2 linked regions of the Pelodiscus sinensis genome follow. The protein of the gene in region 1 purifies or fractionates together with the protein of each later gene. This does not show direct contact. Links are inferred from orthologs where the notes say so. Each region holds a gene or a part of one and is shown in the gene's direction. Other genes may lie near its edges.

Region 1 (8,048 bases):
CGACAGAGCCATGTAGATGAGTTTACTAGACATAGCAAAATGAAGCGGCAATTTAAATAATTGCCGCTTCATTTACATCAAAATGGCCGCCGCGCTGTGCCGACGATCAGCTGATTGGTCAACAAGGGAAGCCTTTGTCGACAGCTCCAGTAAACCTCGTATCATGAGGCATAATGGAGCAGTCAACAAAGGCTTTCCTTGTCAACCGCAGCGCATCTAGACTGCCCCACTGTGCCGATCAGCTGATCGTTGGCACAGCGCGGTGGCCATTTTGATGTAAATGATTTGTCCCAAGTGCCAAATACTGCACTATTGTCATCATCATTAGACACATCTATCCATGTGCAGAGGAGATTGTTGGTGCAATGGGAGGAAATGGGGAGAAAAGGCTAGAACAAAACTGCATCCAGCCCCAAATTCCTGGGCTCAGTGGTCCAAACATTTAATGTCTTCCCAGACAGAATCCCCTTCTCAATATAGCTTTATGATATTATCATTTGCTAAGTATATTACAACATGCTCTACATTCAGCTTCAGAACTTCTGAATAGTGGCATCCTAGCTTTACCCACTTATTAAACTTAATATTTTCCTTCCCCTACCTCAGTTGCACCATCTGTAAATTGGAGATAGAGATATGAAAAGTGCTTTGAGATCTGCTCATGAAAAGCACGTTAGAATTAGGTACAATTATTACTGTCTTGCTTCTACCAGTTTCAGCCTCTGGGAGGTTAATTTTCTTTTTAATTGCTATTTGCCCTGGTTGCATCTAGATTGGCATGATTTTCCAGAAATGCTTTTAACGGAAAAGTTTTCCGTTAAAAGCATTTTCAGAACAGAGCGTCTAGACTGGTACGGATGCTTTTCCGCAAAAGCACTTTTTGCGGAAAAGCATCCGTGCCAATCTAGACGCGCTGTTCTGCAAAAAAGCCCCGATCGCCATTTTTGCGATCGGGGCTTTTTTCCGGAAAACAAATCTGAGCTGTCTACACTGGCCCTTTTGCGCAAAAGCTTTGGAGGCTGGGGGTACCTGGTTCTAGTGGAGGAGATGGGCATTGGGTTGGAGAATGAGGACTGGAGGTGCCTGGCTCTGCGGGAAGGCTGGGTGCATAGGGTTAGAGCAGGGAAGGCTGGAGGATGCCTGGTTCTGGGAGAGGGGCACTGGATTGGAGCGGGAGGGCTGGAGGGTGCCTGGTTGTGGAGGACAGCAGGGGCACTGGGTTAGAGCAGGGAACTGGGTATTAAAACTTCTGACTTCTTTCCTTTACTGTAGGTGGGCGATGAGTCCGTTGGTTAGATTTGGGGGTTCCAGTTTCTGCTCTGAGAGGACTGTGGGAGCTGATCCTTGGTGGGGCAGGCTGGGGAAAGGAAGGGCTTTTGGGAAGCAGGATTCCTGACTTCCTTTTCTAGACATGCCACTTCTCTGCTTGGTGCCTTTAACTTCACATTGATTGTACTTATATTTCGGTAAATATTGTATTTGCAGTTTTTGTTTGATTTGTTAAAATTGTGAAGCCAAAACAAAAAAGTTATGAATATAAATGGTCTTCTGTTGATATGTGTTTAGTAGTTAAATTTCTGGACTGTTGTGAAGACAAATCAAAAAAGTAATCATTGTAATGGTCTTCTGTTGATATGTTTTAGTAATTAAATTGCTTAACTGTTATTGCTCATTAAAAATGCTGTCACATGGGTGGAAATTGGATAAATATTGCATTGTATTAATATCAGAAGATCTGACTTAAATGGGGCCTGCGTGTTTTGTAATCTTGCCTTAATCTTTGTATTCATGCCCGTCAGTATCAAAGAAGCTATTTGCATATATGTGCAACCACACTTGAGTTGCGGCTCTCGTCATGTGCTGTGGGTATTGTGGCCCCCAGGGCTTCCAAAGCTGAGTAGCCCTGGTCTCCACAGTTAGCGCGCACCTCTGCACTGCTGCACAACACCCCTTTGACTATGGCTCCCTTGGGCAGTTGGCCAAGTGACTCACTCCTAAAACCAGCCTTGCTCATGCTACTTATATTTTTATTCTGGGCTACACATTCATATATCTCAAAACCACCGCTCTGTCTTCCCGGGCTACAGACCATTCTCTAGTTCAGTGGTCACCGACTAGTAGATCTACTGGAAGATCTTGGAGACTCTAACAGGTCATCCTGAGAGGTTTGACCAAGAGGCTATCAAGCGGCAGCACTTCAGCTGCCCCTCCCCCCACTGCTGCTCATCTCCTGCCCTTTGCCTTGGAGGTGCCCCTCCCCTCCACGGGAGCCTCCTGCTTTCTGTGCAGGGCAGGGGAGGGAGAAGAGGGTGCTGCTGTCAGGGTGCTCCCTCCCACCCTGTATTCTATATCCACAGAACTGGAGGGGGGGGGGACAACAGGATTTGGGATGGAGTTTGCTGGCTGCTTTTGAGAGTGGTGCAGGGCCAGGGCAGGGGGAAGCCTGCCTTACTCCCACTGCACCACCACCCAGGAGCCACCTGAGTTAAGCAGGGCCCAGCTGGAGCCCACATCCCAAATTCCTACCCTCATCATGAACCCCCTCCTTCACCCCAAGGCCCTGCCCCAGCTCCAGGCACCCCTGCATCCAAACACCCTCCCAGAGTCTGCACCTAAAACCCCCTCCAGCACCCCAAAGGCCCACCCCAAACTCAGCTCAGAGTCCCTCTCACACTCCAAATCCCTTAGCCCAAGAGCAGAGCCTGTGCCCCAACCCTCTGCCCCTGCCCCGTGAAAGGGAGAGAGGATGGAGTGAGCAGGGGCAGGGCCTCAGAGAAAGGGCACAAAGGAGGTGGGGCAAAGGTGTTTGGATTTGAGGTAGATCCTAGATTGCACTTAAATTCAAAAAGCGATCTCGTGCTTAAAAATAGTTCATCTGCCCACTATCGACTGCCCCATATAGCACATCTTTTACCTGAGTCTGGGTAGTACCACTGGTTTCACTGTTGATTTTTGAAGAGGATGATTATGCCCCACTGAAGAGTTTTGCAGATGAACTTGACCATTGAAAAAGGTGGAAGCCGGGCTAGGGAGGCATTCCAAGAACAGAGAGGCCATAGAGGTAGGTGAAGAGAGGAGAGTGAATGTCTAGTTAGGGTAACCATACATCCGATTGTGTCTGGGACGATCCCTTTTTGAACCCCGTCCTAGTCATCCTGACTCCTTAGCACCCCCCCCCCCCCAAAAAAGAAGCTGGGCATTAATCCCATTCAGCCATCAGCTGGCAAGAGCAAACAGGGCAAACAGTTTTGCTAAGTGGTGCGGGACCTCCTAGCAGGATGCAGAGAAAAATGTAGGTGGGGCAGGGTAAGTGGCATGGGGGGAAGTCTTGGGACAGCAGCTTGGGCTGGACCCGCCCAGTGTGGGCAGGCAGCGAGGGATCTTCAGCCAGCTGTGTGCACGGGGCAGAGTAGGACTTGGGATGCCCCCAGGTGGCAGGGGGGCCTCAGGTTTTGGGCCAGCCCTGCAGGTGGGCAGCAGAGCAGTCGGGAGGGGGAGGAAGAGGGGGGCCTTGGGTGGTGGCAGGGACCCGTGCCAGCCTCGTGTGCAGGGGGCAAAAGGGGGCCCAGGCTGGCCCTGCGGGCAAGAAGGTGGGGAGGGTGGAGGAGGCACGGAGGAGCTGGCCCCGCTGGAATGGTCTGCTTGGCAGGAGCAGGCATCCGTGTGACGTGTCAGCGAGGGGCTGCGACTGGGGGCAGGGAGGATTTTCACGGCAGCAGTTGGACTGGGCGGGCGGCGCTGAGGTGACAGGATTTCCCTGACTGGCCCTGCTCACGCCTGCGCACAGCCGCCCTCGCCTGGCTGCGCAGGCTCCGAGCGCCCCTCCTCCCGAGGAAGAGCGGGCAGGGGCGGGGCGGTTGCCGAGGCAACGGGAGGGCGGCTCAAGGGGCCTTCTCTGCCACCGGGCGGCCGCGCAACGTTCTAGCCGCGGCTGCGCCTTCCTCTATGATCACTGCGGGGAGGAGGCGGCCCCGGCGGGACGCTCTAGCCGAGCTCTCTGTGGTACGAGCATCATCAGAGGGCGGCGGCGGCGCTCAGGTAAGAGGCGCGGCCGGTGCGGGAGTGGAGGGGACCCCCGGAGGGCGGCGCGTGCCGTGCTCTGCGTCCCTCGGCGGTAGCGCCCACCGGGCTGTTGCCGCTCCGCTCCCGGGCCTGGCCCAGCTCGGACGGATCCGCTCCTCCCTGCAGTGGGCGGCACTCTGCGTGCTGCGCGGCGAGAGCGCTGCAGCCCTGTTCGTCTGGTGCAGCTGAAGCAAAATGCAGGACAATGTAGCACTTGAAAGACTAACAAGATGGTTTATTAGGTGAGGAGCTTTCGTGGGCCAGACCCACTTCCTCAGATCAAATAGTGGAAGAAAATAGTCACAACCATATATACCAAAGGATACAATTTAAAAAAAAAAGGAACGTGTCACTTCGGTATCTATGGCTGTGCCGATTTTCTTCCACACATTGATCCGAGGAAGTGGGTCTGGCCCACGAAAGCTCCTCACCTAATAAACCATCTTGTTAGTCTTTAAAAGTGCTGCACCGTCCTGTTTTGCATGCTGGGTGGCAGGTACTGTCTCGGGATGTGCAACTAGCCACCGTCCCTCCCCCCCCTTGCTGCCTCTGCCGGAAAGAGGCAGCAAGGAGGGGGTGGTTCAAAACGGCAGCGTGGTATGGAGCCTGCTTGGGACTCCCCCGCTAAGCCCAGGCTCCATGCAGCGCTCCCGCTTTGAAATGCTGTGTGCAGCCTGGCGCCGGGCTCCTTGCAGCATTTCAAAGAGGCAGCGCCTCATGGAGCCCAGGATGAGCTGGAGACTCAGCTCACACCAGGCTCTATGTGGTGCTGCCACTTTGAAATGTTGCAGGGAACACAGGGCCAGCGGGGGACTCTTCTCCATTCCGCCCCCCCCCCCCCATTTCAATAGGTCAGGGATGACTATGTCCCATTAGAGCAGACATGAATGTATTCCACCTGACAAGTGAAAACTGAAGAGGATTTGTCAATGTAAAATATATAATTAAAGCAATAACTCTGGATTTTCTGTTGTTAATGCAGTTTCATTCCCATTGGAGTGTGTGCAGGTGGATAGTGTGGGGCAGAGTTAGACCAGGGGGTTGGGAGTGTGGGAGGCTTGGGGTAGGGGAATGGTGTATGAGTCGGGGCTGGGGGTGAAGAGGAAAGAGTGAGGAGACCTGGGGTCAGATAACTTTACCTGGCCACAAAGGAGCTGTGTGAGGGCACTGCTTCAGGGAAATCAGCAGCAGTGTGAGAAATCCCCTGGCTTTTTTCCAGGGGCTGTTGGCTACAGAACAAGTAAGGGATGTCACGTACACTGCCCACTGCATGGCTCCCCTACAGCACACTGCCAGCTGATCCCTTTAACGTGTCTTCATTGCTGTTGCCTCACCTGGCTGTAAGCCAGGCTGGGAGAGTGCATCATAAACTGCACCCCAGCTGGCTACTTTAACAGCAAACTCTGGCTTTTTAAAGGTCCCAATTTAGGTATTGTTTTAATGAATAGAAATGTCACTTTTTAAATTGTTACAAGGAGAGTTTTTAGCCCCCAGCTGCAGTATTGTGAACCCAATTACAGTTGTGTTGGGAAAGGGGAGATAGATAAACCCAACTGAAAAGAGACAAGTCTGCCAGCTCTAGCTCTGTGCCATGTGCAGAAATAAAACCGCCTTCTTGTAGGAACAGTCTAGGAGTGCTCCTAGTGTTCCCAGGTTACTTTCAGGCACATGAAAGAGTTTAAGGTGGCAACTTACCTGGCTAGTGTTGGTTCCTAGGTGGCTTAGTAGGCTGTGCCCTTGTGGGGTGCTGAAAGGTGGGCTGTGGCTTTGCATAGGGAGAGTTGGGAAAGCTGGAGAATGAAATAAATGGCTTAAATGAAAGAGTGTGCCCTGAGGTGGGCCTCCTTATTTTCATCTCTGCTTTCCTTCCACATCAGCCAGTTCTTTTTAGGATGTAGAACCAGAAAGTGTTTTAACCTCCCTTTTAAAACTGGACAGTCTCGGCACCAAAGGATAAATGAGCACAAATCAGACATGAGGAACGGTAACACACATAAACATGTAGGGGAACACTTTAACATTCCTGGATATTCAGTAAAGGATTTAAAAGTAGGGATGTTAGTGTGTAGACAACTACATGATTAAATGATAAATGCGGGCTTATTGGTTAATTCTGTCGACTACATGCACTCCCCCCCCCTCCCGCCGCATGCTGTCTCTTTTATCAGAGGCAGCAAGAGGGGGGAGATGGTAGCCAGTGTCTGTGGGGAGCCAGCTTTAAGCCTCCCCATGAGTACTGGATCTGCCTGCCCCCCCACTTCCTCCTTGCTGATGCCTCTGATAGAGAGAAAGCAGCGTGGAGGGTGAGGGGAGCAGGAGGAGCCAAAATGCATGGGGAGCTGATTTTTAAGTGGCTCTCTGCACTTGCCAGCTCTGTAAACCCCTCTGCCCCCACTTGCTGCTTCCTACAGAGTAGGACCCACCTGCCCCTACTTCCTGTTTCTCCACAAGCACAGGCAGCGGCAGAGCTTAAAAGCCAACTCTTCCCCAGCACTGGCTCCATGGTGCTGCCTCTCCTCCCCTCCCCTCCGGCTCCTCCCACTGCCCCGTGCTGCCTCCCTAACCCACCCCCAACAGGCAGGAGTGGCAGGCAGGAACTGGTCTGCACAAGGAGCTGGTTTTTAAACTGGCTCCCCTTGCAGTCTGGCTCCTGCTTGCACCTGGCGCTGCTGCCTCTGATGGAGAGGCAGCAGTGCTGGGTGGTAGGGGCTCCCCATGAGTGAGGCTCAGAGCACACTGACTGTTGGCTCTGCCCCTGGTGATTATCGAATAGTCATGTAACCGCTAACATTTGATTTGGTTACATGACTATTTAATTACACACTATCTAACATCCTTATATAAAAGTAGCTATTCTTCTTCAAAAGAACTTTAAACCCCAATTACAAAGGGAGACAGCTGAACTGGAGCAAATTCAATACAGTCAATTTAGAATTGAAAAGGATCTTAACTGGATCATGAAAGAACGGATCTCATCTGCACTAAGTGCAAGCTGGTCGCCATTTTGGAAGAAAAAATTTGAGGACTGGAGGCCCAAGTGTCGACCCTACACTTGATCAGAGAGGATGAAGACTTCCTCGATAGAAGGCAGCGTTCAGCTTAACGACCAGCTCTTGCTCCTTGAAATTTCTGGCCTTTCAGTTTGTTAGTCTGCTGAGCAACATGTACAAAGACTGACATGAGCTGGATAGGATTGTTTTTGTTCTGTATTTTATGTGGTGGTAAACCGGGGCCAAGCACAGCAGAGTTAGTTAAGACATTGTCTAAAAACAGAAATAATATATAAGAAAGGACAGAAGCAGCATGGAAAGGAACACTGGAGTGGACAGGAAAAAGGAAAGGACAGAAGCAGCATAGAGAGGAACACTGGAGTGGACTGGAAAAAGGAAGACATTATTTAGCATACACACAGCTTCCTATAGTCCCCTACGCTTTTGCCACAGAAAAACTGTTATGGCTTCTGAGTGTAAAAGAGACCCTATGTGGGAGTATGTTGAAGAAATTAATTCCCTGGGTAAAAAAGGAAAACATGTCGTGTAAGCAGTGGAAGAAGATGATGCAGGGCCTAGCTGCAAGAATGAAACATCATAAGGAAAACTGCTTATTAGGATAAATTTAAAAAATTTAGAATAACAAAGCATGTAGCTTATCATGAGCTTTCGTGGGCACAGCCCACTTCTTCAGATGACTGGAACTTTGTTGTTTTTTAAGTTTATCCTGTACAGATTAACTTGGCTATCCCATGATGCTTATTAGGAGAAAATATGTGGATGAAGATCTGGACATGGCTGAAGAACAATGTAGATTGACTTTGGCTTGTCTAATTAGTTAACAAGGTTTAGAACACGGGTGAGCAAGAGACTGTCTGACACTGGATCCAGCCTGTGACTGGCTTGCTGGAAACAGTAGGCAGAGAACAGCTCCACTTTAAAAAGCCAGCTGTTCCAACTTCCAGGTGGCTAGAGAGATAGGAGGGAGACTTCTCA
Region 2 (8,037 bases), on another chromosome or scaffold:
AAGCCCATCAGCCAAAGGCAGCTCTTTTCATCCTTCCCTTCGCTGCTACTGCCTTGCAGAGGCAGGGCCCAATCAGCACCTGACTGACAGCTTGTCGTCCCAAGAGGGCTGGTTACTCCCACCCACACTCCCCGATTGACAGTGAAGCCCTCAAATCGATTGCTGCTCAAAGAGGTAGGCAGCCTGGTTCCCCGAGGTGTTCACTTGCAGGCTTGAAGGCAGTGAAGCATGCGAGGGTGTGCTCTTATGGCACCACCTGCTGGTCTAAAGGGACAGAAACTGCAATACAGGCAGTCCCCGGGTTACGTACAAGATAGGGACTGTAGGTTTGTTCTTAAGTTGAATTTGTACGTAAGTCGGAACTGGTGTCCAGATTCAGCCGCTGCTGAAATTGATCAGCGGCTGACTACAGGAAGCCCGAGGCAGAGTTTCTCTGCCCTGGGCTTCCTGGAATCAGCCGCTGATCAATTTCAACAGCAGCTGAATCTGGACGCCTGGGACAGAGCAGCTGGGGCGCTGCCGGGTAGGTCCTCACAGCGCCGCACCTCGGTGCTGCGGGGACCAACCCGGCAGCACCCCAGCTGCTCTACCCTAGGTGTCCCCAAGTCAGCTGCTGCTGAAACTGATCCATGAAGCGTACAGCTAGTTCGAATTAGGAAGCCTAATCCGAACTAGCTAGTCCGTGCCGCGTGTAGCCGTGCGGCACGGGGTCCGAACTAGCCGGCATTTAAAAATGGCGCCGGCCGGCTTTATGCAAATGAAGCCCGGGAAATTCAAATCCTGGGCTTCATTTGCAACTCTGTATGACTACATTACCCCCCCCTAGTTCGAACTAGGGGGGTAGTGTAGACATACCCTAAGGTACCACAAGACTCCTCCTCCGTTTTGCTGAAACTTACACAGCAAAAATAAATTATGAAATCAGTTATACCCAGCAGCACCCCAGCTGCTCTGCCCCAGGCGTCCTGATTCAGCCGCTGCTGGTCAGTTTCAGCAGCGGCTGAATCAGGACGCCTGGGGCAGAGCAGCTGGGGTGCTGCTGGATTGCTCCAGTAGCGCCGAGGAGCGGCGCTACTGGAGCAACCCAGCAGCACCCCAGCTGCTCTGCCCCAGGCGTCCCCAAGTCAGCTGCTGCTGAAACTGACCAGCGCTGACTACAGGAAGCCCGAGGCAGAGTTGCTCTGCCCCGGGCTTCCTGGAATCAGCTGCTGATCAGTTTCAGCAGCAGCTGACTTGGGGATGCTTGGGGTTCTTAAGTTGATTCTGTATGTAAGTCGGAACTGGCGGTCAGTTTCAGCAGCGGCTGAATCTGGACGCCAGTTCCGACTTACATACAGATTCAACTTAAGAACAAACCTACAGTTCCTATCTTGTACGTAACCCGGGGACTGCCTGTAGGACTTCAAGTGATCAGAGACATCAGTCCCAGCCTGATGGAGGAGACACCAGTCACAGCAACTTGGGCATGTCGAAAGTTAAATTGCTCTCTCTGCTGTTTTCTAGGAACCCAAGACAGATAGGGTTGCCAACACTCCAAGAATTACTCTTTAATTAAAGATTATGTAATGTGATGAAATCTCCAGGAGTACATCCAACCACAATTGGCAACCCTAAAAAGCAAATTATATTAGCCATTATCTTTACGGGGTTGGCTTTCATGCTTCTTTATAATACAGAAAAGAGGCCTGAAGACTTGGGTTTTTTAAATTTCAGAAATGTGCTTTTCTGGTTGACTTTTACATTACAAGTTAGAGTTTGTTCTGTTTTTCTTGAAAATTAATGATCACTGGATGAGACTGAGGCTCTATAGAAGAGAAGTTGCATCTGAAAGAGGCTTGTATTCAGGTTAATTTCTTTATAATAATATCCTTTTAATTCAGACACCTTATAATTTCTCATGCAAGACATTTTATTTCTGTTAAGGATTCAATATCCACTAAGAATGTAGGCCTTGATCATGCAAAAATGTATGCATACATTTCATTTCGTGCCTACTGTGAATAATCTCACAGAGTCCAGTGGAACTACTCACAGGCTATGTCTAAACTGCACTGTTAAATTGGAAAAAGAAACGCAATTTGCGGTATGCAAATTGTGTATCTTTTTCTGATTTACATTCGAAAGAGGCTCTTTTGAAATTTGTCTTTCTACTTGCGAAAGAAAGTGCTCTTTCAAGCTTTCCCTTATTCCTCATAGAACAAGGTTTACAGGGATGGCAAAAGAGCACATCCTTTCTTTCAAATTATTTTTTTTTTAAAACGGACACTTTCCTTGTACGCGGCGTTGTTTTTTGGGGATACTTCTAGTATCCTGAAAAAGCAATGGAGTCTAGACATAGCCACAGTGTGTAAAAGTTTAGTATATAATTAAGGCATCACAGGAATGGGTCATAAATGAGATCTACATTATGAATTTTTCCTAGTACAGTAAAACCTGTGTTATCCAGCCCTGTAGCAACCGTCCAGAAAGCTCTATAAACCAGCCTTAATAATATTAATATAAAGTCCAGTTTATAGTCCAGTTGCTAGGGGACCAGCAGGCTTCCTGCTTGGTTCTGCATGGCTCCTTGGAAGCAGACACATCCCTGCTGCTCCTAAGCAGAGGTACAGTCACAGGGGGTTTGGAGTGTAAGAGGAAGTACAGGGGTGGGAGCTGGGGCACAGGAGGGGTTTTGGGATGCTGGATTCAGGGGCACTTTGTTTAAGATAAAGAAAAAATTTCTTTTGAGCTCTCCCTTTTCCTTGATTGTCCTGTTGAAATGAATGAGGTGTGAATGGAGAATGAAAGGTGAGCACATCCAGCAGCAGTTGCAAGGGTCGAGAGGGCCTGGGAGCCAGATCAAGACAATACCTGTAAAGTGAGCTCATTAAGAAGACTGGACATACAGACAGCCTTGGGAGTCAAGCATCAAGTGCCCGCCCTTGAAAGACCTCTCTTTAAAGCATTACAAAGGCAAGGTGATGACTAACTGGCTGCATGAGAGGGATAAATATGAGGCATCTTGCAGAGGGACCCCGGATTATTCGTCTTGTCAACATGGGAGCATCGATCTGGATCGGCAGAAGCCCGCTCCACCCCCCCACATCTAACTCACTTGGCCAGTGCAGTTAACGGGAGCAACTCTTGGTAACAATAAGATGGAGTGTGCTTGTGTGTCTGTGTGTGTGAGTGCATAAGTGTAAGTATCATATGCATGTGAGAAAGTGTTGATTGATCTATGTATGTTCAATAAATGTGGCGTGTTGCCTTATCCCCCTGAAAAAGATCCCGTGTGCTTCTTTTAAGCACAACACTGGGAGTGACCAGACAGCCAACAGAGGCTGTCCCTGGGATGGACCTGGCTCCCGCATTAGGAAGGCAGGATAAGGGACCCTCTGAAGGTAGCTAGGCGGGCTGGGTTCTGGAGTGATGTAGTAGATAGGGCATTTGCTAGGGGAGTATAGGGTGGTGGGTTCAAGTCTCTTCTCCCCTAGGCAAGCTAAGTCCCAGCAACCAGACAGCTAACACAAGAGGGCAGTATAGACAGGCAACACAAATTTCTTGTGCAAGAAGCCCCTATGGTTAAAATGGCCATCAGAGCTTTTTTACGGAAGAGAGCATCTACACTGCCATGGATGCTCTTGCGCAAAAGCACATGGCAGTGTAGACGCTCTCTTGTGGAAGAGTTTTTGCACAAGAACTCTTCCACAAAAGAGTTCTTGTGCAAGAAGCTGCCAGTGTAGACGTAGCTCAAGTATGCTGCATTCTGGGCTGGCTCTGCCTGGTGGGAGAAAGGGGAGGAGGCTCTATATACTACCCCCTACCCCAGGCTGGAGGCATGTTAGGCATGTTACCATGAGTGCAGAGGATCTCTTATTCCTACTTCAAGTAGGAATAAGAGATCCTCCGGAATAGGGCTTTATTCCGGAGGATCGCACCGGTCTGGACGCTCTTTTCCGGCTTTTCCCCAAGCCGGAAAAAAAGTGGCGGCCATGTTTATTTAAATCCCATGGGGGATATTTAAATCCCCCGTGCATTTCCCTATTCCAAAGTTATAAATTAGCATGCCTATTCCAAAGAAGGGGCCAGTGTAGACACAGCCGCTGTGTCTAGACTGGCAAGTTTTTACGCAAAATCATCTGCTTTTGCGGAAAAACTTCCCAGCTGTCTACACTGGCCGTTTGAATTTCCACAAGAACACTGATGATCTCATGTAAGATCAACAGTGTTCTTGTGGAAATACTGTGCTGCTCCCGTTCGGGCAAAAGCCCTCTTGCGCAAATCATTTGCGAAAGAGGGCCAGTGTAAACAGCACAGTACTGTTTTCCGCAAAAAAGCCCCGATCGCGAAAATGGTGATTGGGGCTTTTTTGCAGAAAAGCGTGTCTAGATTGGCCACGCAAAATGCTTTCGCGGAAAAGCGTCCTGCCAATCTGGATGCGATTTTCCGAAAATGCTTTTAATGGAAAGCTTTTCCGTTAAAAGCATTTCCAGAAAATCATGCCAGTGTAGACGTAGCCTTACAGTTTACATTACAGGGCTGTGATAGCCCATTAACAGGGGCCTTGCAGAGACATGTGACCATGTCACCTGATGAGGGGATCCATCTTAGATACTGTAGATGACCCCAAGAGCAGAGAGGAAATTTAAGACTGAACACAAGGGATTGCTGCTTTTTGCAAAATCTATGTACTGGTGGAGAACAGGGATGTACTAGTGTAGGCGATTAACCAATACGCAAAAGCATATCAGTTAATGCTATAGACCATATGCATTTTCCTCCCCTCCCACATCAGCAATTTTTTTTTTAGCAGCAACCCAGCTCAGTCCTGGCTTGCAACAGGTCCAGCACCTCCCCCTGGTGCAGCTCTGCATGTAATGCGTATTAGGAACCAGCCAGGCTGGCACCGCACAGCCAGGCACCAGGGGGCGGAGGGCTCGAGGCAAAGGCTTTCTTTCTCACGCTCGCGAGGGCCAGCACCGCGCCTGCGCAGCTGTCGCCCCCCCCCTCCTCTGCCGCCGACGCAACCCGCGCCTGCCCAGTGCGCCTCTGTCGCCCGCGGCCCGACAGAACCGCGCCTGCGCAGTGATTCCCCCTCCCTCCGCCCCCTCGTAGCGGAAGTGGCTGGGGGGACGGGGCGCTCCAGTTCCGCCTCGGTGTTGTTCGGGCTGCACAAAATGGCGAAGATCGCCAAGACCCACGAAGGTGAGACACGGAGCCAGCCCCGCTCGCTCCCCCCCCACCCCCCCCGCTGCCTCAGCGCCTCGCGGGCCCGGGCCGGGCTGGCTGTCGTGGCGCGGCGGGCGGCGCAGGCCGCAGCGGGCGGGCGGGCCGGGCCTGTGTAATGGCGTCTCCGCCGGGGCCTCTCGGGCTGCCCTTGCGGCGGGGGGGGGGTCACACGGTGCTGGGGGGAGGGGCTGGGCCCCGCGGTTGCGCTTCCTGCTGGGAGGTGACGTGTGGCCCGCGGCGCCCCTGGAGTGGGAGCCCCGCTCCGCCGTGCGCAGCCGCCTCCCGGCCCGCTGGAGAGGCCGGCCAGGGGCGGTGACACATCCCGCCCGGCTCGCCTCGCCTTGCTGCCTGCTGCGGCCCGGGCAGGCTCGGGTCCGGGCGCGCTTTCCACGGCAACGTGTCGCGTCTGCCGGCGCATTGCAATTGACTCGCCGTCCACAGCAGGGGCTGGCCGTGGGTACCCCTGCTGGCAGCGCAGTCTCCCTGAGTCAGCTCGTCCTCGCTCAGCCTTCCTACCAGTGCTGTTTCTTTTGCAATAAGGGGGTTGATATCGGGTTGCTAGGGAATATTAGACAATTGTTGCTGACGTAGTGCCAGAGAGTAATGTTGTTTCTGAGGTACCCGTCGCCCTCTGCCCGCTTAAGGTTATACACCTGGGGTGGGGAACTTGAGACCCTGGGGCCAGAGGTGTCTCCTAGTTTGCCTGGCTCAGGGCCACCCCTCATCCTAGCATTGCAGAGCCTGCACTGGCTCGCCAACCCCCCACCCCCACATGGAGGGCTGGAGCACACATAATCGATTAGGCTGCCCCCACAAGGGGAATGTGGGAGTGTCTTTCTCTTCCATTAGCCACCTCAGTGAGGGGGTTTGTTTTTTTGTTTTTGCTTCTGTCTTGTGGGTAGCCCCCCAACTGGTTTTTCTGTGGCTCCCTGACCCCAAAAAAGTTCTCCACCCTGGCTATACTGTAATCTGTCATGGTCTGCAAAATTACTAGATGAGAGCCCAGTTCTACATGGGAGGAACACTGTTGACTTCATTGAGTCTGAGTAGGTATCAACAGATCTGTTCAGTCACAGTTTGCAGAATTGGGCCCTTAAACGCTTTAAGTGCTATGACAAATTATAAAAGGTGGGTTTTTGTTGGGGGGGGGGGTTATTTGTAGCCAGATTCATTACTTCATTTCCCCACTGAGTGTATGCAAAAAATGCCTTTGCAGAACAACATCTGTAATACTTCTGCTCTTGAAATAGCTTTATAACAAATTGAGACAACTGATAGAAATTATTTACATGTGTGGGGGACTACTAAGTACCCCTATTCTATCTGAATGCCTCATACATACGTTGACCATATGTTTTGATTTTTCCCGGGACTGTCGCAAATTAAAATGCTCTGTCCCAGTTCCCCATCAAGTAGTGAAATGTGCTGGAAAGCCCTGCCGTTCATTTCGCAGCTTGATGGGGACACCAGTGCAGCAGCCTCCTTCCCCAGGGAAGATGCAGGTACCAGGGGATTGTGGGGGTGAAGCAGAAGGGCAGACACAAAGTGGGGGAGGAATGGGCACCAGAAGAGAGAGGCGGGGCAGGTGGGTAGAGGGAGGTGTTAGGAGAGGGGATACGGAGGGGTAGCTTCAGATGATCAGAATGGGGCTAGAGGAGGAGTGGACATGGGGAAGAGAAGGGCTGGTGCAGGGGTGGGTACCCATAAGCAGGGCTTGCCGAGCAGCGCTGTCCAGCAATCTGTGCATACTCAGATCGCCCGAACCCTGCTCTTCTGGGTTGTAATCTACTTGCCACGGGCGAGTAGATTACATAGATTGTCGAGCCGGACGCTCTCTCGTGCAAGAAAGCTCTGATGGCCATTTTAGCCATGGGGGTTTCTTGCACAAAAAAACACTGTTGCCTGTCCACCCTGCCTTCTTGAGCAAGAGGTCTTAGTCCTTGTGGAGAGAGGAATAACTCTTGCACAAGAAGCCCTCTTCCAATGCTTTGCTGTACATTTACTTGGACAAGAACATGTGTGCAGTGTAGACGCTCCACAAATTTTTTGTGCATGAACAGCCATTCTTGTGCAAGAAGCCTGCAGTGTAGACACAGCCTGTGTGTTACCACTATGATATTTAGCAGGGCTTCCCTATGCTTGTGGCTCCAGCTGGGGGGTGGGTATAGGAAGGAAGTGCACAGATCCATCTTCCCCACACCCCAGGAGGGGATGGCCCAGAACACAGGGTGGGCTTTATTGGGTGCAGCCCCTAATTCTCCTTTTCTTAATCTAGCTCCGCTGCTGGGGTCAGGTGCATTCCTCCAGCCCAGCGGGGAGAGGCGTTTTTTTCCTAGTCATGGCAGCCCTGAGCCGCTGCACAGGGCTTATTTGGCAGCCGTGTGGCGGTGCAGCTTAGAGGGAACTCTACTTGTGGATTGTTCAAATCCTTGAGTGCCGTAGGTTTGTCAGCCTCAATTGTAAGAATAGATCAGACTTATCACTCTGCAGAAAATCTGAATATTCTGTGGTTTGTCAAGGCTGCAGTCTCTTTAGTATCTTCTCTGTGTTACCAGCTTTGATAACCCTAATTGACCAAAAATGGTAACAATGCAAATATACATGCCAGTCTTGCAAACATTCACATTCTCATAAGAACATAAGAATGGCCGTACTGGGTCAGACCAAAGGTCCATCTAGCCCAGTATCCTGTCTACCGACAGTGGCCAGCACCAGGTACCCCAGAGAGGGTTGACCGAAGACAATGATCAAGCGATTTGTCTCCTGCCATCCCTCTCCAGCCTCTGACAAACAGAGGCCAAGGACACCATTTTATCCCCTGGCTAATAG

What was found. Proteins that work in one complex are often made in the same cells at the same time.
Region 2: the proteins of SKIC8 (region 1) and SF3B1 purify together in Homo sapiens (co-immunoprecipitation; 3 studies listed by BioGRID and IntAct, with this or other methods). This does not show direct contact. The link is inferred for Pelodiscus sinensis from reciprocal best matches to the Homo sapiens genes SKIC8 and SF3B1.

What each region holds. Positions count from the first base shown.
Region 1 is NC_134724.1:39,734,623-39,742,670, forward strand, and holds the start of SKIC8 (superkiller complex protein 8), read left to right. Parts: upstream 1-5,023; 5' UTR 5,024-5,038; coding exon 5,039-5,070; intron 5,071-8,048. UniProt on the Homo sapiens protein: Component of the PAF1 complex (PAF1C) which has multiple functions during transcription by RNA polymerase II and is implicated in regulation of development and maintenance of embryonic stem cell pluripotency.
Region 2 is NC_134717.1:71,442,382-71,450,418, reverse strand, and holds the start of SF3B1 (splicing factor 3B subunit 1), read left to right. Parts: upstream 1-5,036; 5' UTR 5,037-5,156; coding exon 5,157-5,184; intron 5,185-8,037. UniProt on the Homo sapiens protein: Component of the 17S U2 SnRNP complex of the spliceosome, a large ribonucleoprotein complex that removes introns from transcribed pre-mRNAs.